6 linked regions of the Ovis aries genome follow. The main gene of each other region encodes a partner of the protein of the gene in region 4 in a complex. Links are inferred from orthologs where the notes say so. Each region holds a gene or a part of one and is shown on either strand. Other genes may lie near its edges.

The links.
Region 1: CHD5 (region 4) and CDK2AP1 share a complex: the UniProt entries of both Homo sapiens proteins name them as parts of the nucleosome remodeling and deacetylase (NuRD) repressor complex. The link is inferred for Ovis aries from reciprocal best matches to the Homo sapiens genes CHD5 and CDK2AP1.
Region 2: CHD5 (region 4) and HDAC1 share a complex: the UniProt entries of both Homo sapiens proteins name them as parts of the nucleosome remodeling and deacetylase (NuRD) repressor complex. The link is inferred for Ovis aries from reciprocal best matches to the Homo sapiens genes CHD5 and HDAC1.
Region 3: CHD5 (region 4) and RBBP4 share a complex: the UniProt entries of both Homo sapiens proteins name them as parts of the nucleosome remodeling and deacetylase (NuRD) repressor complex. The link is inferred for Ovis aries from reciprocal best matches to the Homo sapiens genes CHD5 and RBBP4.
Region 5: CHD5 (region 4) and HDAC2 share a complex: the UniProt entries of both Homo sapiens proteins name them as parts of the nucleosome remodeling and deacetylase (NuRD) repressor complex. The link is inferred for Ovis aries from reciprocal best matches to the Homo sapiens genes CHD5 and HDAC2.
Region 6: CHD5 (region 4) and RBBP7 share a complex: the UniProt entries of both Homo sapiens proteins name them as parts of the nucleosome remodeling and deacetylase (NuRD) repressor complex. The link is inferred for Ovis aries from reciprocal best matches to the Homo sapiens genes CHD5 and RBBP7.

Annotation. Positions count from the first base shown.
Region 1 is NC_056070.1:52,346,833-52,350,785, forward strand, and holds the start of CDK2AP1 (cyclin-dependent kinase 2-associated protein 1), read left to right. Parts: upstream 1-1,153; 5' UTR 1,154-1,411; coding exon 1,412-1,466; intron 1,467-3,953. UniProt on the Homo sapiens protein: Inhibitor of cyclin-dependent kinase CDK2. Also acts as a component of the histone deacetylase NuRD complex which participates in the remodeling of chromatin.
Region 2 is NC_056055.1:235,253,498-235,256,997, forward strand, and holds part of HDAC1 (histone deacetylase 1), read right to left. Parts: intron 3,098-3,500; exon of another isoform or gene 2,943-3,097; intron 2,641-2,942; coding exon 2,528-2,640; intron 1-2,527. UniProt on the Homo sapiens protein: Histone deacetylase that catalyzes the deacetylation of lysine residues on the N-terminal part of the core histones (H2A, H2B, H3 and H4).
Region 3 is NC_056055.1:234,977,801-234,981,300, forward strand, and holds part of RBBP4 (histone-binding protein RBBP4), read right to left. Parts: intron 2,711-3,500; coding exon 2,565-2,710; intron 1-2,564. UniProt on the Homo sapiens protein: Core histone-binding subunit that may target chromatin assembly factors, chromatin remodeling factors and histone deacetylases to their histone substrates in a manner that is regulated by nucleosomal DNA.
Region 4 is NC_056065.1:46,558,137-46,560,758, reverse strand, and holds part of CHD5 (chromodomain-helicase-DNA-binding protein 5), read right to left. Parts: intron 1,589-2,622; coding exon 1,456-1,588; intron 1,026-1,455; coding exon 830-1,025; intron 1-829. UniProt on the Homo sapiens protein: ATP-dependent chromatin-remodeling factor that binds DNA through histones and regulates gene transcription. May specifically recognize and bind trimethylated 'Lys-27' (H3K27me3) and non-methylated 'Lys-4' of histone H3.
Region 5 is NC_056061.1:23,747,405-23,750,904, reverse strand, and holds part of HDAC2 (histone deacetylase 2), read right to left. Parts: intron 3,104-3,500; coding exon 2,986-3,103; intron 921-2,985; coding exon 846-920; intron 341-845; coding exon 202-340; intron 1-201. UniProt on the Homo sapiens protein: Histone deacetylase that catalyzes the deacetylation of lysine residues on the N-terminal part of the core histones (H2A, H2B, H3 and H4).
Region 6 is NC_056080.1:15,052,134-15,055,633, forward strand, and holds part of RBBP7 (histone-binding protein RBBP7), read right to left. Parts: intron 2,616-3,500; coding exon 2,455-2,615; intron 1,718-2,454; coding exon 1,591-1,717; intron 1,473-1,590; coding exon 1,395-1,472; intron 568-1,394; coding exon 491-567; intron 1-490. UniProt on the Homo sapiens protein: Core histone-binding subunit that may target chromatin remodeling factors, histone acetyltransferases and histone deacetylases to their histone substrates in a manner that is regulated by nucleosomal DNA.

The sequences.
Region 1 (3,953 bases), on a different chromosome or scaffold from region 4:
TATTGGACAGTGCTACTCTAGAGTATTGGTCCCCTGAGAGCAGGGTAGGAAAAGGATGATATTAATTTACCCCCGAACTAACACTTCGCTGAACATCCTTGACGGAACCAGCCTAAAGCTGATCACAAGCGATCCTGGGAAGAGGGGTGTCGCTTGTACCTTCACTTCTAAAGGAAGGAGGGAGGGAATGGGTGTATCCTTTACCTCTGGGGCAATAAGAATTCTCACTAGATCCAGATGTATCTGAAAGTCTGTAGCTAATAAAAGATATTTGCAAAGCAGGGCGATTAAAAATGGCAGAAAAGGGCGGGCATCTTGTGTCTTTTGAGAAGATTTACTATTTAAGGAGAACTCCAAGAAATAATACCTTCAAAAGCTTCATCATCTGATGTAAAATAAATTTCATGATTGCAATTCAGTCAGATTTGAGAAGTGGGCTGTGGTGGGGTAGGAAGAGGGTCAAAAATTGCAATGTAATCTCCAGGAGAGAAGAAACTTGGTCAAGTTTATTCTTGTCTTAGCGCCTAGAACAGTGCTCGCCACACAGCAGGCGCTTTTTAAATATTTGAACGAGTTAAGATGCAAAATTAGGTGGATGAGACGGTGTGTTTTTCGCGGGAGGAGGCCTTTGGCTTTTGTCCAGTGTCAAAGGAGTCTAGGCCGCCAAGGGGTTAACAACCACTTAATACCGACAGGGACGTGAAATTTATTTGAAATCAATGTCAAGAATTGGTTGATCTTATTCTGGGGAGAAGGCAGACCTCGGCGTCTGGAATGATCTACGTGCTTAAAAATACCACTCGCCACCATTTTCTCCAGGTAATTTTCCATCCCTGCCCCCACAGTCAAGGAGGGGGGGGGGCGAAAAAGTAATTCCGCAATCCTACCTAGCTTTAGAGAAAAAAAAAAAAAAAGAAAAAATGAATCGGTACAGCAACAAATCTCCAGGCATCGCCAGCGCAGCAGAAGAAGGGGACCCAGGTGGGCCTCGGGCACTGCCGGGACCCCAGCCCCCCAAACTTTGCCAAGTTGCGGGCGCCGAGTGCGCCCGGAGGCGCGGGGCGCGGCCGCGGGCGGCACCGCCCCCTGACGCCCGGCCGCGGCGCGCCGGGCCGCCCCCTCCCGGCCCCGGCCGGCCCCGCTGGCTCCGCTCAAAGTTTGCGGCCGCCCCTGCGCCCGCGCGCCCGCCCGATGTATGGGTGATATACTGCAGCGGGTGTCAGGGTGAGGGACGGCCATATTTGCCGGTGCGGCCCGAGCCGTCAACAACAAAAAGTGCGCGGGAGCTCGGCGGGCGCACGGACGGGCGCACGGACGCCAGGACCGCCTCGCCGCCGCCGGGTCTCGCCGCCGCCGCCGCCCTCGCGGGCCGGGCCCCGCTGCGCCCCGGCGCGCCCCGCCGCTCGGGGGGATGTCTTACAAACCGAACTTGACCGCGCACATGCCTGCCGCCTCCCTCAACGCCGGTGAGTGAGTGCGCCTCGCGGGCTGCGCGCGCCGCGCCCCAAGTGCAGCCAAGTTGGGGGCTCGCGCGCCCGGCCCCGGCCCCGGCTCCCGGGAGCCCGCGGCGGCCGGGGTCGGCGGGCACCGGGTCCCGGCCCGGGGCAGCGCGGCCGCCGCCGCCATGATTCCGGCGCGCGCGCTGCCAAAGTTCGCGGGTGCGACCCGCGCCGCGCCGGGCCTCGGGTCGGGCCGGGGCTGGGGCCCGGGTCGCGGGCGGCCGCCGCGGTCCCCCCCACGCCGGCGGCCCCGGCTTGTGGGGAGCGCGGCGAGCGAGGGCGGGGGAGGCTTTCTCGGCTCCTTTTTCCTCCGGCTTTTGGGCGGCTCGGCGAGGGCCCCTGCCGGCGGGAATCGGGAGCGGCCCGGTCGCGCCGGGAGCGGGGCGCCGGGAGCGGGGCGCCGGGAGCGGGGCGCGGGTCCGCCCTTGGGGACCTGAGGGGCAGGCCCGGGCGGGGGGTCCGGGAGGCAGGGGTGCACGTGAGCAAGGCCGGGCCACGCGCAGGCGGCGCTGCGGGGCGGCGAGAGCGCCAGGTTGCAGCCGCTCCCGAGGGCGCGGGGCCGCTGGGGTCACCGGCGGTGCAGGGGAGGTGGTCTGTGGACGCCCGCCCGGCCTGGCGTGGGGGAGCAGGTGCCCAAAACGGGGCGCACGGGAGGTCCCCTCAGGCGTGCGCGAAGTGAGAGAAGTTGAAGAAGACCGGGGGCTTCGGAGTTGCCTGCAGGCGGAGGGCGGGGGAGGCATTGAGCCGGGGTCCCGGCTTGGAGCCCCCAAGTCTAGGTTTAGAGGGGCCTCCTCCAGGAGCAGTGCTCTCCGTGTGCTGGGGCTGAAGCTGGGCGGTCCCAGAAAACTCCTGCATAAGTTGTCCGGAAGCTTTAGGCTGAGTCTGGGGGTCTTGCCTCAGAGACCGGGGCGGGGGCGGGGTGTGTGTGTGGCAAGGGGGCACGCGGGATGTGTGTGGCTGGTGGTAAAATTTTGTGGGGTTCGTAGGTGACTGACTGCCCCCTCTCACCGAGGTTCTCCTTTAGACTCTTGGTGGGAAACTTCCAAAAAAGCGAGGTGCATGGGGGTAGGGGTGGAGGCAGGGGCTTGGCAGGAAGGAAATGGGCCTCCCTGGTCAGAAGTGCCACGCTGGCAGTTGGCCGAAAGTTTTGGGCCTTGTCTTCTAATGTTAACTCGATAACTCCAAAATCTGAAGGGCGCCCCAGAAAAGCACTAAGTGTATGTCCATGTACGTATATACCTATACGTAGGTGTATATATGTGTGTGTGTGTTTAACTTCTTGGACAGAGATTTGGGGATTGGAAAGGGTTAAGATTCAGGGTGTGGATGGCTGTGGGGGTAGATAGTTTAGTTGGTCAAGTGTGGGCTCTGTCTGAGCCCCAAGAGCAAACGGCCCCTATTTTCAGCTGAAATGTTCTCATCTCTCGGGTCTGCACACCTTAAGAGGCAGGCTTTGTGGCCAATGTTTCTCACTGCCTCCCTCATCTGACTCTGGGGTGGGATGGGTGGAGGGTCTTGCCGCCGGCCCAGGTGGGCAGGAAGTCTCAGGTTCCCCTGGTGCAGTTGAGGCAGGGACCCTGAACCTGGCCCTTTGGGGACTGGGGTCCCAGAGGGAGCAAGCCACCCGCTTAGGCACCCTGAAGCCCTGCTCTGGGCTGGCTAGCACCTGTGCCCAGATTGTCTTCCTTCTCCTGTGGTGAACTCCAGGAGGAGCGCTGAGGTCTCCAGATCTCTGGTGTTCGGGTGAGGGGCCACCTGCCCCCTGCCCTGAGCGTGGACCCCTTTAGAAAGCCCGCATCTCCCTGAGCCATTTGCATCCAAGATGGACTCTCCACTGCCGCTCCTCCGGCTTCCTTGTCATCATCCCTCACGCCCTCCAGCCCTGCCTCCTGCTCGCGAGTTGCCAAGCCGCGGCCTGGCCGGCGGTGGCAGTGGCGGAGTTAGACAAAGCCCCCGCCTCCCCGCCAGAGAGCCCCCCCAGGCGCCCCAAGTGGCGGGAAGGCCGCCAGCTCCCCAGGCCCGGGCCGCTCTTTGTCTGGCGTGGGGGCGGGGAGCCGCGCCTGGCCCCAGGAGCTGCTGGCCTTTGCCAATCCCTCCCTCGGCTCAGGGCCCTCCCTGGTCCCCGCACACTGCGCGCATTGTCTGCGATGCTCTGAGACGACCGTGCTCACGCCCTGTCTGGTTTTCTCCTTGGCCTTGGGCAGCTGGACCGCCGGCCCTCCCTGTGTCTGCAGGAAGCTGTGGGCATGAGTGGAACTTGGGGTCCCTGCGCCAACTCTTCCCAGGGCCACAGGCACCCCCCTCTGAACACTGAGCAAAGGACTGGCTCAGAGTCGGGTCGACTACCACATCACCCAGGTGACAGGCAAATCAAGCTCTGGGCTCTTGCCTGACTTCTCCACACTGCTTCCACGCCTGCAACCCATTCCTTCTCCCTCTCTCAGGAACTAACCC
Region 2 (3,500 bases), on a different chromosome or scaffold from region 4:
ACATGAAAGAGAACATGGTCTAGCGATTTCAGCAAGAGATTACACTGGGCTTTTGCTTTAGTTTACAATAAGAATACCACACAGATGAAGTAATCTCCAATAAGGTATTATTATCTCCTATGACAGCCATGGTTGGTTACTTCCCAAAGAGCTATTCTCTCCCTTCCCTCTTTTTAACAGATCTCAATTTGGTTGGGTATACCCAGCCCCAAGGATCAAATTGCTGGTGAATGGTCTAAGTATGGCAAATGACCCAATGAGACTTAAAGGGAAATCTGTTAGGAAGTTGCTAGGAAGGGCTTTCTTCTTTAATAAAAATAGTATAGGGTAGGCACAGCGGAGAGTGATTAAAATCAAGGTTGCTATAAAGATTAAGTAAATAACAGTAGCCCTGGCTTGGTACCTAGCAATCTTCAACAAATGTTAGTTAATTTCTCCTCTCACTTAAAGATATGACCCTTTTTTTATTATTAATATATCAGTATCACTCATGGAGGTTAATAAAGTCCCTGGGTTATAACAAGTACTCAACAAAAATCTGTTGAATGAAAAAAAGAAACAGTGCTTAACGCAACTCTTGAAAATGAGAAAGATATGACTAGGTGGAGTAAATAATCCTCCCCATCAGAATGGGGTGGAAAGAGGCAGAATCTGATCTGGCTGAAATGGAGGGTTCTGAGGGTGGAGTGGCAGGGAGGGAGGCAAACTGAGGCCAGGTGAGCATGGCTGAGATGTGCAACAGGCAGCCCCGTGGAGCCCTGGTGCTTACTATTCCACATTCAGGTACCCTCTCTGTATCTAAATACTAGTCTGTTCCCTGGAGTCCCTGAAAACCTCTGCTATCTTTTATGTTTTTCATTCCCAGATGCCCTTCACACCTGAAAATGCTCTCTGGTCCCAAGTTCCATCTGCTCCTCCATCTACCTTCCCTCCTTGCTTCCCCAGCTGCCTCCAGGGGCTCCAGAGACGTGACACGGTCGCCTGGGACAGAAGATTCCTCTCCTTTCAGTCTCTGGAATGGTGGGGAAGGATGCTGCTGCTGCTAGGTTACGTAAGCTGTCGGCACAGACTTCATCAACTCTTACATTCTAACCATAAGGCAACACAGGCCCCCAGCCCCTCCTTATTTTCTCATTTGGACTCTTGCAACAGCCTCCTAACTTAGCCTCCCTGCTTCTAAAATGCATGCCTATTCCTATTTCTCATTTAAAATACTTCACTTGGGACTTCCCTAGTGATTCAGTGACTAAAACGTCACGTTCCCAATGCAGTGGGCCTGGGTTCAATCCCAGGGTTAGGGAAATAGATCCTGCATGCCGCAGTGAAAGGCCCTGAATGCTGCACCTGAAGAGCCAGCACACCACCATGCAGACAGAAGACGCTGTGGGCCACAGCTAAGAGCCGCACAGCCGAACAAATAAACAGAACGTTTTGAATAAACACTTCTTTTGTTTTTTACAGCCTCCAGAAAAGTTCAAATTGGGAAACTCTGGACCAAATTTGGCTCACAGATATGTTCATGCACTTTTGTTCCTACATGTTTCCAACAAACCTGGGCCAACATTTTAAACCTTGAAGACTCTATGTAATAATCCAGAGTTCTGGCTTCTCTTTAAAAACCACTATGTGCTTGGTCACTCAGTCGTGTCTGACTCTTTGTGACCCTTTGGGCTACAGACCACCAGGCTCCTCTGCCCATGGGATTTTTCAGTTAACAATACTGGAGCGGGTTGCCATTTTCCTCCTCCAGGGGATCTTTCCAATCCAGGGATGGAATCCATGTCTCCTGTGTCTCCTGCATTGCAAGCAGATTTCTTTACCCGCTGAGCCATCAGGGAAAACTGGAAGATGTGGCAAAAGACATCAGCTGGAGCCAGGCCAAATGGCTAGAAAGTCCATACGCTCCAGTAACTATAGAGACTTGGTATCTAGTTCAACACAGTTCCAATCACTTAGTTTTTAGGGACTAGATTTTTTGACCCTGGCCTAGCAAAACTGCTTAATATAGCACACCCAACTCTTGCTGACCTCTCCAGCTCTAGCTCCCCTCTCTCACACTTGCCAACTTTATACTGCAGCAATACTTGCACACTAAACTACTTACATTTCCCTAAACACATCATATTGTTCCTACCTTTCTGCCTTTTTGTATATGCTCTTCCCTCAGCCTAGAATGCTAGTCCCCTCCTGAACTCCAGGCTAATTTCTATTTAATCTTTAAAACACTGTTTAGCTATCACTTCTAGGAAACATTCCAAGGCTCCCTTCCACATTCCACCTCAATATCCCTGAATCTTACACATTTTTAAGTCATTGCCCTTACACACTCTAGTACAATTTGTGTACATGTTGTTCACCAGCACTAGAGTGAGCACGTTAAAAAACAATCTCTACCATTTACAATGTCTGCCACGTAACAGTCACTCAACACATTTCATGAGTAATTGAAAAAAAAAGAGATAATGAATGATATATGGGGAACCAGAGCTGAAGAGGCTAGGGAGGGGTGAAGCTCCCAGTAACTCACATAGATTTCCATCTTCCGGTAGAGACCATAGTTAAGGAGTAAATTGTGAGTCATACGAATTCGGTGAGGCTTCATTGGGTGGCCTTGTCCATAATAGTAATTTCCAACATCCCCTGAAGAAGAAAGAGTGACAGCTTCAGTGACACAGTTAGACACACACTCCCAGGAGAACCCACAGATTTTTACAACAAATTTCTAGGCAAATTCTGTCTGGTTCATTCTAGGCTCCAAGATTCTCTCCCACATCAAGGAAGGGTAACTCCAAAAGAAAACAAAAAGCAGGGGACCGTAGTGAGATGAGCACTTAAGGATGTCTGTCTGGCCCAGTTTTTTCCCTTGGAACCCAAAGGCATTAGACAGTGTGAGTGGGTCAGTCCAAAGCTACTGGGGAACATCGGCCAGTGAGGTGACTCACCTCACTGTCTCCAAGGAATTCACTCCCACAACAGAAAGAATAATCATCACTACTCAGAATTACTGTAAGTCACAGTTCACCTCCTGCACATCAGAACACTTTATGATGTCAAAGCACTTTTGCAATCACTTTCTTACTGGATTCTCACAAATACCCTGGAAAATAGTTAAGACAGGGAGTATTATTCCCATTTTATAGATTAAAGACTAAACTCATCATCTCTGTAAAAATTAGCTTATCCATTAATTTTCTTTTTCTATTTGGCTGTGCTGGTCTTCACTGCTGCTCAGGCTTTTCTCTAGCTGAGGAGAATGGGGGCTACTCTCTAGCTGTGGTGCTCAGGCTTCTTATTGCAGTGCCTTCTGCTGCGGACCACGGGCTTTAAGGTATGCAGCACGTGGGCTCAGCAGCTGTGGTTCTCCGGCTCTACAGAGCACAGTCTCAATGACTGTGGCACATGGGCTTAGTTGCTCCGAGGCATGTGGGATCTTCCCAAATCAGGGACTGAACCCATGTCTCCTGCACTGGCAGGCAGATTACCACTGAGCCACCAGGTTG
Region 3 (3,500 bases), on a different chromosome or scaffold from region 4:
GCCTTGATCTGAGAAGATCCCACATGCTGCGAAGCAACTAGGCCCATGTGCCACAACTATTGAGCCTGTGGTCTAGAGCCCAGGAGCCACAGCCACTGAAGCCCATGCACCCCAGAGCCTGTGCTCCGCAATAAGAGAAACCACTGCGATGAGAGAAGCCAGTGCACCACAAGGAGGCCCTCCTGCTGTAACTAGAGAAAAGCCTGCCCAGCAGCAAGGATCCAGCAGTCATAAATTTTAACAGATTATAAAATAAACAGGGGAAAAATTATCTATAACCTATTAGTTAGGGATAACTTACATTACATATATAGTTAACCCAAAAGAAAAAATGAGGAAAACACATAAATAGGCAGTTCAAGAGACAGACAAAAGATAAATATTTTAAAATAAGTCCAACATCACAAATAACTTAAAAAGCAAGTTAGGGAATCCCTGGAGGTCCAGTGGTCAAGACTCTACTTTTGCTGTCAAGGGTGCTGATGCAATTCCTGGTGGGGGAACTAAGATTCTGTAAGCCCCGTGAAGCAGCCATTAAAAACCAAATGACACAAACACCAAAACCAAGAAAGAAAACATCCCTCCAACAACAACAAAGTAAAATGAGCGCGCAGCATTCAATGCTGGTAAAAGCATGCAGAAACAGACATCCATGTATCTGCTACTAGTGAAATTGAGTTTTTTGGAGGGCAACTTAGCAGTACCAATACACTTGAAAATGTCCTTGCAAATTAATCAACATTCAATTTAGATAATTGTTCTACAGCAAAACTATGCAAGATACATGCACAAAGACTTTTTGAAGTCAAAAGATTGGAAACCACTTAAATGTTAATTGAGGGATGGTTAACTACAGCACAGTATAAGCCATCAAAAGGAGGCACATTCCCATATGCTAACAAAAAAGATGGCTGGGATACATGAGGCTGGGAAGTATATTTTATCTTATATTCCCAGAACAAAGAAAAACTGCCTAGCCTAAGTACTTAACGTTATCTGTTGAATGAGTGATCCAATAATTGGGATAAATCATTTAGAAAACTATCAATTTAACAGTGATCCATAAAGGACAGATTTATGTGGTGAGGGGTTCACACAGTTGCTTCGATTTTTTTTTGTCTGCACTACGTGGGCTTGTGACATCTTATTTCCCAGACCAGGGATCAAACAGCACGTCCCCCACTCCCCACTAAAAGCAGGAAGTCCTAACCACTGGACCACCAGGGAAAGCCCTGCTTCAATTTTTAAAGATGATTTATTACATTACCAATCAGAATATTTGCTTTATGCCTAAATAACTAAAAATTCTATTTAAAGACAGTTTGTTTTAATAAAAAGAAAACAAGCTCAGGGAGGCTGAAAGATTTATCCTCAAACTACACAGCTAGTGAGCAGCGCAACAGGGTCCCAAGCCCTAGTCTTCTGATTCTTTCTTTCCAACAACAAAAAAAATTTGCTATTTTTGGCTGTGCGGCATATGGGATCTTAGTTCTCCAACCAGGGATTGAACCTATGCCCCTTGCAATTTAAGCAGAGACCCCTCCATCACTACTAATGCCTACCCAGAGAATACCGCTGCAGTAACCATATCCTATAGTTCACACACACAGGTCAGTGACGCAAAATCATGTTTGCTGGCTCTTATCCTAAGAACTTATTTTGCATTCTGCTAAGCTAAATACGGAATGATCAAAAGAATAACTGCACATTACAATCTTGGCAAATAACTGGAAACCAAAATAACTTAGATAAAGGAATGGATTCCATTAATCAGGAGAAATCTAAGATAAGAAAACATTACAGATTCATTTTCTGGGGCCACAAATCTCAATACTGAAAGTCTATCTTCTACCTTTGGTAATAATTTGAGTTCAAGGACAATAAAGGAAACCCACTCATTTCTATCTCTTCTGAAAGGGAAAAAAATAATTCATGAATAGTTAAGCCCTAAGGTTACCACCTAAAATTAGGATATAATTAAACACTCATTTAATTTTTATATACTATACAGCAAATATCTTTCTATCACTTAAACCTGGAAAGGGTAATTTAAGCCAGTGCTTTTCAATCTTTCTTTCCCCCATTATTGCCCTATAAGATATTCTGACACCTTAATGAAATTCTAATACCACAGATAACCTGTGTATTTGTTTATGCATGCTATGTATATCTATGCTTCAAACAGTTCAAAGAATAAGACTGTTTTCACATATACCCCACTCTGAGAATCAATATTCAATTCCCCAGGGGCAGTATCTTCCATGTTGAGAATGCAAGCATGCATGGCAATAATATATGGTGGATTTTAGCTTCTTGAAATTTGCCTACCACCAAATTTAGTTCAAGAAAGTTTACAGAACTAGTACAGAACCAAGTACATGTTACCTGTCTTCTGATATCTAATATCTATACTGAAAATCAGGCTTTCCAAAGCTTAATATCTTGTTCTTAACTTGAGAGGCTACTTTATCAAACTGTACCCACTTTTTTATGATATTTCAGAGACACAAAAATATAACCAAAATAAGTATCATTCCTTCCTTCACCTTAATTAGGACTCCTACCTCCTTTTTCACTGTCGTAGTGTGAAGCATCAAACTGAGCATCATCGTTAGGGAGCTGCACGCTGGCTATCACAAGGTGGTTTTGTTCATCCGACGTGTGTGTCCCCAGGACAAGTCGATGAATACTGAAGTCTTTCCCTTCTGGTCTGTAATAGCAACATATGGTCAATATTCAGTTTAGTAAACTAAGAGAGACCACAAAGTCAGTGACATACACGTATATACAAGACATTATTACAACAGGTTTTGAGAGAAAGAAGTCATTAAGAGCCATATTTCCTTACTTTTAACATATCTTCCATAGAGCTGAGGGCAGGTACCACATACCACTTAATTTCATAATTATTTCTTAACTTGGCCAAATATTTACAATTACTTTTGAGGAAAAAGTCCGACGGAATAAAATAAAAATTAATTATTCATCCTTTACAAGGAGCTGGAGAGAAAAAAACCAATTGTTGGGTATATGAACACTCCTGGTTACCTCATTAAAATAGAAAGGGACTGACATCAGGTAAGCTAATGTCTCAAAATGAGATAAAACCCAGAAGAGGAGGACAAGAGCTTTGAAAAACAGTATTCCAAGGGAGGTAAGCAAAGATGAAGGTTCTAATACTATGAAGTAATATTCTAATTTAAAGATGGTTTGGGAAAACTGACTTCCTTGGTGGCTCAGACAGTTAATCTGCCTGCAATGCAGGAGACCTGGGTTCAATCACCGAGTCAGGAAGATCAACTGGAGAAGGGAATGGCTACCCTCTCCAGTCTTCTTGCCTGGAGAATTCCACGGACAGAGGAGTCTGGCAGGCCATAGCCCGTGGGGGTGGTCTAAGATTAACTAAGTAACAGAACTAGGACTGAAATCTAAATCTGACTTTAAATGTGGGGAAACAGTGGGAGAGTAGGTCAAAAAGCAGATTGAAATCAGACTCTAGG
Region 4 (2,622 bases):
AGCAACTAAGCTTTCCCACCACAACTCTGAGGCCACACACCACAACAAAGATCCCGCATGCCGCAACTAAGACCTGACACAGCCAAATAAATATTCAAAAAAAAATAGATAACCAATAAGGACCTCCTATACAGCACAGGGAACTCTGCTCAATACTCTGTAATGACCTTTAAGGAAAAGAATCTAAGAGTTGTTCAGTCGTTCAGTTGTGTCTGATTCTTTGTGACCTCATGGATTACAGCATGCTCAAGCTCCCCTGTCCTTCAATATCTCCCAGAGTTTGCTCAGTCTCATGTTCATTGAGTAGATGATGCCATCTAATTATCTCATCCTCTGTCACCCCCTTCACCTCCTGCCCTCAATCTTTCCCAGCATCAGGATTTTTTCCAATGAGTCGGATCTATATGTATAACTGATTCACTTTGCTGTACAGCAGAAAGTAACAAAACATAATAAATCAATTATATGTCAATAAAAACTAAAAAACTTTAAAGGGTCCTTATCTCTTTCACTAAAATAAGTTAAAAAATAGAAATAAAGCATATTGTCTGGGCTCAATAAACAAGCCTGTACAACTTAATATTCTGCTATATCACCTACCCCCCCACCCAGGGCCTACACAGCGCTGACCTTCAGAAAAAAGCCAGAAAAGCAAGGCCCTCACTTTTCCGGCAGGTAAGAGCAGAGGCTGGGTGACAGTCTGTCCCATCTGGCTTGGAGGCTGTGCCCTTGGGGCTGAGGTCCCAAGCCCCACACCCCCACCTACTGCCAAGGAGCCACTGGGCAGACGCAAGCTGTGGGCCCATCTCCAGGGGACGGGCTCACTCACCCTTGTGCAGAACAGCATTGGCAGGCTTGTTTCCCGCGAGAGACTCCTTGGACAGGTGCTGGTGGCTCTCGGCAAGGCACTCCACCTCGGCCAGGCGGGCGTTGAGGGCCATGGCGGGATGGTTGGGGTCCTGGGTCATGTTGAGGTATGCGGCCCTCCGGAGCTGTTCCTCAATGACCAGCGCCTGCTCCAGCAGCTGGTGGGGGTGCGGTGAGGGGGGGTCAGGGTGAGGGGAGGGACTGAGTGCTGGCCTGGTTGCCTCCCCAACAGCACCCACTCCCACCGGCCAGGGCTCTGAAAGAAAGGAAGGAAGGAAGACAGCCCCTCTCCACCCAGTTGTTGTCCATTCTCTTGGCCACCCCTCAGAGCCCTCCTCAAGCTGGATCCCCTGCACCCATTACCCAGAGCAGGGACGCTCGCCTAGCGGGGTCTGGCTTCAGAGCAAGGAGCCAGCACCTGTTGGTTGACTGACTCAACAATTCCCTTTCATGGATGGTCTGGCCCACACCCGGATATTCGGGCAGGGTATAAGAAATGCTTGCTCGTTTCTTTGCCCCAGGCCTTCTCATAACCCATCCTCTTGCGGCCCCCTAACCTTCAACCTCTGGCCCCTGCCAAGGACTGACCTTGAACCTGCGGGCCAGGAACTTGTTCTTCATCTCCAGGTAGTTGCCCTTGTGGATCTCAGACTTGAAGGGCTCATTGAGGATCATGTATCTCGGGTCGTTCTGGATGTCCTGCCAGCGGGCATAGCCATGCCTAGGTGGGGGCCGTTAAGGGCAAACCTGGCCACAGGGTGGAGGGAGGGAGTGGCGGGGAACCAGCCCAGGGTTTGGCATCTTGGCTCTCCGCTTTCCAGACAGGCATTAACCTTGGCTGCAAGAGGATCATGTGGGTGACAGTGACCTGACAATCAGCGGACACCGACAGGGGCCCCCAGGGGCCCAGGCAGGGCCTGAGGCTTCACCAGATGAACTTCTTCATCCCCCAAATCCAGAGGGTGGAGACAGCTGAGTCCTAACCCCCAGCACCTGTGCTGTGACCCTAGCTGGAAACATGGCACTTGCAAATTAATCAAATCAATTAATTAAATTAAGAAAGGGTCATCCTGGGCTGGAGTGGGCACCAATCCAGTGACTGAGGTCCTCAAAAGAGGAAATTTGGACACAAAGAGATACCCAGGGAAGAAGCCCTGTGACAACAGAGGCAGAGATGAATGATGCAGCTGTGAGCCAAGGAGCACCAAGGAGCCAGGGGCAGGCAAGGAAGGGGCCTCCCCTGGAGCCAGAGGGAACAAAGAAACACCACGAAGTTTTCTTGCCAAGGGCCCACAGCTAGAGAGAGGCCGAGTCAGGCTCTGAACCCAGGCAAGCTGGCTCCAAGCATCTTTTTTTGTTTTTTAACTCTGTGTGTGTTATTTATTTATTTAGTTGCACTGGGTCTTGGTTGCAGCATGTGGGATCTGGTTCCCTGACCAGGGATTGAACTCCCATCCCCTGAACTGGGAGCACAAAATCTTAAGTCACTGAACCACCAGTAAAGTTCCAGCTCCAAGCAATGTAACCTCAGTAAACTGTGGCCTGCAGGCCAAATCCAGCCCACAGCCTGGTTTTGTAAATAAAGTTTTATTGGAACATGGCCATGCTTGTTGGTTTACGTATTGTAGTTACTTTTGCTACCCTGGCAGAGTGGAGGAGTCCTCTGTGAAGTTCGAAATGTCCACTCCCGGGTCCCTCCCAGGAAAGATCTGCTGACTCCTGACCTACAACTTTCCACCTCTCATTATAATGCCT
Region 5 (3,500 bases), on a different chromosome or scaffold from region 4:
TCAGACATCAATATGCAGTTCTCATTCTTAATAATCCAAGAACTAGCCAAATTTCCTACATTTTTACAATGGTTTGGAATGAATCTGTACATGATTTATCCACTATTTTCAACCCATTGTTCATGTTTTAAAAAAGGCACAGGTTTTTACTATGAATTAAAACACTTTTTACAGGAAAAATGTCAAACACAATGAACTTACTTTAGTAATTCAAGGATGGCAAGCACAATATCATTAACATAACAGAATCCTGATGCTTCTGACTTCTTGGCATGATGTAATCCTCCAGCCCAGTTAACAGCCATATCAGTTTGTTGTCGGTTTAACTTCACAGCACCAGCTAACAATTAAAGATAGGAGAAATGTTTAAATGTTCAAAATTAAAAGTTACTATAACTAGACAAAAGCCCTAGAGGAAAGAGGATGTCATGCATAAGCAAATGAGTATAAAATCATAAGAGGACCACTGCCATGGGCACTAACAGCTTCTCTTTAGGTGACTATTCTCCTGTAGCTGTGATCTGGTTACATAAGAGCACACAGTTGGAAAGTGGTAGTGACAACGGTAGCTAGAAGAAAGGGAGGAAAAAGAAGTCTCTAACTGGAAATGCAAGTGAAGTAAAAAGCTGCAAATAAAAAGTTTGAGACATTATGATCACAAAACTGGGTGGGGGGGTGCGCGCCACTGAAAACAACTGTAACTGTAGACAGCTATAAACATACTATACACATACTACTTTTGTTATTAAAATCAGACACTATTAAAGCTTGTTTCAAACAAATATCTCAAAAAATACACACAAGTTTAAATCAACTTCTAAATTTGACGAAATCAAGACACTTACCAACTGAGCCACCAGTTGAAAGCTGACAAAACTCAAAAAGTCCATCAAACACTGGACAGTCCTCTCCGACATTAACTGTGGAAGACGGATTTCATTAATTTCAATCCATTCTGTGAATCAATGAAAGCCTTTTCTTACAAAAACTATATCCTAAAAATAACATGTGTTTGATGCAATCATAAAACATACACATCATAGTAGTAAAGTTTGCAATTTTATCCAAGGCAGTTAAAATATAAGGTCTGAAATACCACCACCAATTCTTCACATGATTATCTATGGAAAATATCTGCTTTTTAAACAAATCAGTAGCTATCAAAATAGAAAAGGTATTTGGGGTTATTTAATTAAAATACGAGGTTAAATTTCCTAGGCATTTCTCCTTAAATATAGAGCAGTAAATTAATTAAAATCCTAAAAAGTTTAAGCTCACTTACTTTATGATTTACATTTTTTAAAACTCCTTTAAGTATACAGAATATCCATAACTTTGAAATGTACTGATCACCAAAAAAATGTAACAGTTGGTTGCCCACATCCATGGTTAGTGTTAATCTTAAAAGATGGTAAGAATTCCGTAAGCTGATGACAGCCAAGATACAGATGAAAGAGATACTTAAGGCACAAGGAGACAGCACACGAATATAGATACACAGCACATCACAACATATTTAGCTTCTTGGTACTGAGAGGATGAAATGGACACAGATTGTACAACCCATTCTCAGTTCTCCTCACCCCTCAATTTATATCCTCTTCAAGAAAAAGGGTCATTACTTACTTTGTATAGGTTTGTACATCCTTAATTTATTTTAACATATACATTTTATCTTCCTGCTATTCAGATATGATCATTATCTTAATACAATTCAGTATTATGTAAATTTAAAACCAATCCTGTTAGTTCATTTTACCTTAGGGCTAACTATGACTTAATCTAAGCCTAAATCCCCATTGAAAAAACAGGGGCAAATAATATCTATTAATATTTGTAATACAACATCTTACTGAATCAAATGAGATAAACAAAATGTACATCAAATTCTATGAATTTATAAGATGTCTAGCAACTACACTTAATTTAGTATTACTGAACAAATAATACTGTTTTAACAAAATCATTAATGAAGTCCATCAATAAAAACATCGGAATGAATGCCAGTATCAAGCTTTAAAAAACATTGTTCTAGTCATTTTAGAAAGACATCTTGCACTCTATCTTCTTGCATTCAATCTCTAATAATAAAATATCTACAAAAGATAACACTGTGTAGAAGAGAGTCAAAAGCTTCATTGATACAACAAAGGGAAATACAGATATACGTACAACTGTCCCTTGGTATCAACAAGGTATTGTTTTTAGGACCCGGATGATAGCAAATTCTGGGGATGCTCAAATCCCTCATACAGTGTTTTCATACAACCAATGGAACATCCTCCCATATATTTAAATCATCTCTGATTACTCAATATTTAATATAATGATAGTGACCATGGGGTCACTAAGAGTCGGACACGACTGAGCAACTTCACTTTCATGCATTGGAGAAGGAAATGGCAACCCACTCCAGTGTTCTTGCCTGGAGAATCCCAGGGACGGGGGAGCCTGGTGGGCTGCTGTCTATGGGGTTGCACAGAGTCGGACACAACTGAAGTAACTTAAGCAGCACCAACAGATAGTTGTAAATGCAATGTAAACAGCTGCCCACAAGAGGTAAATTCAAGTTTTGCTTTTTTGGAACTTTCTGGAATAGTCTGGATTAAAGCACACAAATAGAAGACAAGAAACATACACACCAGACTACTGCCAAAGTACAGTCATATTTTTAAAAGCAGGGGAAGGAGGTTTCCCTACCAACATCCACTATCTCAAAGTTAACATGGAACCAAACCAAAGAGCAAAGAACATCCAAATAGCTCTTTGGCAGTTCGGCAGACCAATAAGCTTCAGGTAGGCTATTTTTTTTTTTTTTTTTTTAAAGCAGCTTTAGTATTGTCACAGGGACTTTTAAAAATAAATAAATAATAAAAATAATTAGATCAGGAAAATATCTAGATTTAGGTAACTCTAATTGCAAGTTCTGAAAGTACTTATTTATACTTATCCCTCCTAATATATACTTTTAACAAAGAAACGTACATCTCTGCATCTGCTTACTGTACTCAGACATGTTATCTGGTCTTATTGAACGTAGAAATTTGATGTACTCATCACTGTGGTATTTCGTCATTTCTTCAGCAGTGGCTTTATGGGGCCTCTGTGAAGAAAAATAAATGTCAGAATTGTGTAATTACAACTGGTTAGATCAAGGTTACCAAACACAAAGTATACAATGTCCCCTACCACTACTCTCAAGAGAACTGTCTGCCAGAATAAAAGAGATACATTTCAAAGCAAATCCAAATTTATACATATGTGTTTTAGAAAGCAGTAATCAATTTCAAAAACAATATTCCTTTTAAAAGGATTACACAGGTCTAACACCAACTATGAATCAATCACTCCTTTTTTTTAGTGGAAACAGCTCAATCCTTCTAAAGACTCTACTTTCTAACATTTTCTACCATAAACCTTCTGCTCCAATGCCAGTAATTTCATCACTGACCATTAATTTTCAGGAAGGCTGAGACTCATCCAGGTAAAATGAGACTCAT
Region 6 (3,500 bases), on a different chromosome or scaffold from region 4:
TCCATAATGAACCCCCAGAAGAACATAAGCTCTGATGGCATTGGCTGTGCTTATCCTGTTCTCATCCTCAGCAGTTACACAACCCACAGGAAGAGCTCATACCTGTGGGAAAAAAACAACTGAAAAAGATTAGTCCTGCAGATGTACGTTGAAATCTAAGGAGACACAAACAGCTGACGTCTTTACCCCTTTCTATAGCAAGAGTTTTTTCAATACCATTGTTTGGATGTTAAAACACACATGCACCCCTAACCCTGACTTCAGTCCTAATTACAAAGAAAATCAAAACTCACATTTGCATCAATTTTTTTCACATTCCATTTGCTGATTCACTTCTATTTTATGGAACAGACTCTTTAGGAAGGTACTGAAGATTAATTTTAGACTTATTAAACTGGGGTTAGCAAATCGCTCTTCTAGTCTATGAATTATTACATAATCTGCTATATTAGCATATTTATGCAATTTTTGTCACCAGATCCTGAGTTACCTTAAATCCCACACATTCAGGCGGCGATCAGTACCACTTGAAGCCAGAATGGTTTCGTTATGTGGAGACCAGTGGACCTAGCAACACATATTTGAAAACATAAAGAATCATCCATTACTGGGTCTGTGGCTGTTGTTCTAATCCTAGATATTTTCCCATTTCATCTTCTGTACCCTTTGCTTGGCCTACAAGCCTTCACTCTTTGTGCTGTCCCTTCAGGTGCTCTTAAATGAAACATCTCTTCAGCCTTCCCCTGGGAGGGTCATATTCCTCAAGGGTAACTCTGCTAGGGCTCCCAATAAACTTAGCTCCCAAACCACCCCAGAAGCTTTTAACATTTCTTTTAACATGAAGTGTACCTTAGCCTATGCACATCTCTATTTTAAACCATATATAAGATTTCATTTAAAAAATTAATTTACTTATTTTTGGCTGTACTGCTCAGCTTCTGAGATCTCAGTTCCATGACCAGGGATTTAAACCAGGCCACAGCAATGACAGTGCTGAATCCTAACCACTAGACTACCAGGAAACTATCTTTACTTTTTAAACTGATCCTATTTTGCAAAGACTGTTCCTTTTACTTCTGAACTAACAATATCTAGAAATCTCCAAGTTATTTCTCACTAGTTTACTTACACAGTAGGCAAGGAGCTTTAAAAAAAAAAAAACAAACAAACACAGGGAATTCCCTGGTGGTCCAATGGTTAGCACTCTAGGCTTTCACTGCCAGGGTTCAATCCCTGGTTGGTGAACTAAGATCCCACAAGCCACATGGCATAGCCAAAAACAAAACAAAAACCCAATGTCCCAAGTCCACTATGTAAAAGAAAAAAATTTATAAACTTCTCTCTAGTAAAAAGTTACTAAAATCTGACAGAGACACCAGAAAACTGTCACATACCTGGAAAATTTCATCTTTATGAGATTCAAAGGTATGGAGTTTCAATTTTAAGTTACGCAGATCCCATAAAGCTACAGTCTGAAGAAAAATAAAATGAAAAGGAATTTGTTTCTGCACTTTACATAAGAATTTTAAAATATTGTAGTAACAAAGACAAGTAGGTTTGTAAACACCAAATATGCAAAAACTTAGAAACCTTATCCGCAGAGCCAGTTGCAAGAATGAACTCGCTGTAGGGATTGAAGGACAGGCAATTGACCTCGGCAGTGTGCGCATCAACCAGGTGGCTCGGCTTGGAGGTGGTGTTGGACCTAGTGTCCCATCTAAAACACAAAGGTACAAGGCACACAGCGCAAGAGCAGGCCACTCAACCCTGCCCCACCTCCCTCCCCAACACTTGTGCCCACATCAGCACCACTCCATGCCACTCCTCTCTCGCTAACTTGCCTTTCAGGGACACTAACCATGCAGAGTTGGCAACTTGGACTTCCAACCACTAGGTGATATGCTCTAAACCTGCACAGAACAAACTAGGGCTACCTCTGCTTTCTTGTTCATTACGTCCCTATCTGGATTACCAACTATTTCAAGCATGCACAAAATACTAGAGACTACTGTTTCATATCTATAACCTAGCCTAGTCAAATTCAGTATTTTGCTTTGTTTGCCTCAGATGCTAGTTTATGAGATAAAAAGCATTCCAGGTGCTTGAATGCAGCCCTGTAGCCATGCCTTGATGCACAATCACTCTCCTCCCTCAACTTCAAGGCAAGTTACCCTGATCCCCGATTTTGATACATACCACTGCCCCAAGCATGTTTCCTCATGTGCACGTACCTGTTTTTTTCTTTTTCTAAATAAAAAGTTGTGTTCAATCATACAGCACAGTAACTTTTACGTAAAAAGGCCATCCCTATTTATAGCTTCTCATGTCAATTATACCTCACTAAAGCTGTTTTTCTTTTTTTGAAGGCCAAGACACAATTTAAAAGCCACCACAATCACTGATGGTCATTCAGGACACCCATATAACAAAACCCCACTCAATTTTCCACCTTACATCATAAGTTTCTGATCATCAGCAACAGATCCAAACAAGGACTCATGCAGCAGGTGCCAGGCCACATCCTCTACAACAGCCGAGTGGCCGGTAAAAATTGCTTTAGCATCCACAATTTTGCCTTCCTTTGGTCCTGCATTAATATCCCACAGACAGACAGTCTGAAGAAGGAACAAAACAAGAGTCAGTTATGAGAGACTGAATTTAAATGCTAACACCTTATTTAAAACTCTTTATTAAAAACAAAGCTACTTACTATATGAAAATTTTTTAAAAAAGTGAAGTTTCATAAACAGCAAAGTGTACAGGTGTAGCTTCCACAATCTGAGATGCAGAGGGGAAGGAAAATACAGTGTAATGGGGACGGGAGGACAGCATGGTGGCAGGCAAGAAACATTCTGGTTTGAGTTTCCACCTACATACATTCAATCAAGTATCTAAAATTCACCTAGATTACACAACACGAGCCTGGGGTTCAATATCCACCAAACTGAAATGCATATCTTAAAACTTCATGCTGGGCTGGGAAACTGGGAATTAAAACTAAAACATGCTTCTTAAAAAGTGAAAGCTTTTGGACAGCTGTCACTTCACAGCAGAAACCACTACATACATCAGCAAGTGCCAACAGCTGAACAACCTAGAAACCCCTACAAGGCTACTGAAGAGACCACAGGGCCTGCCCAGACCTCAAAGGTTACAGATCCGCAGGCTTTGAGAGTTTGAGTCTTTTCTTAACATCTCGTCATAAAAATAGCTGAGAAGAGTCTGAAGTTTCTATGAAAAAATATTGCAAAGTATAGGGCAGTGATTGTCACCTCAATGGAGTAAGAGGTAATTCCATTAAGGTATATTCAAATTAATTCCACTGACACTAGTATCAGCTTCCTCTCTTCATCAATCATTTTATTATCTGAAAGGGTTTCTGTTACACAATACATGTGGCCCTTAGTCTCTGTTGATACTCACACATTTGGACGCAATTTACATGCATGGAAAAGGTGGAATGTGTCGAACTATTACCTGCTCCTCACCTCAGAAAGATC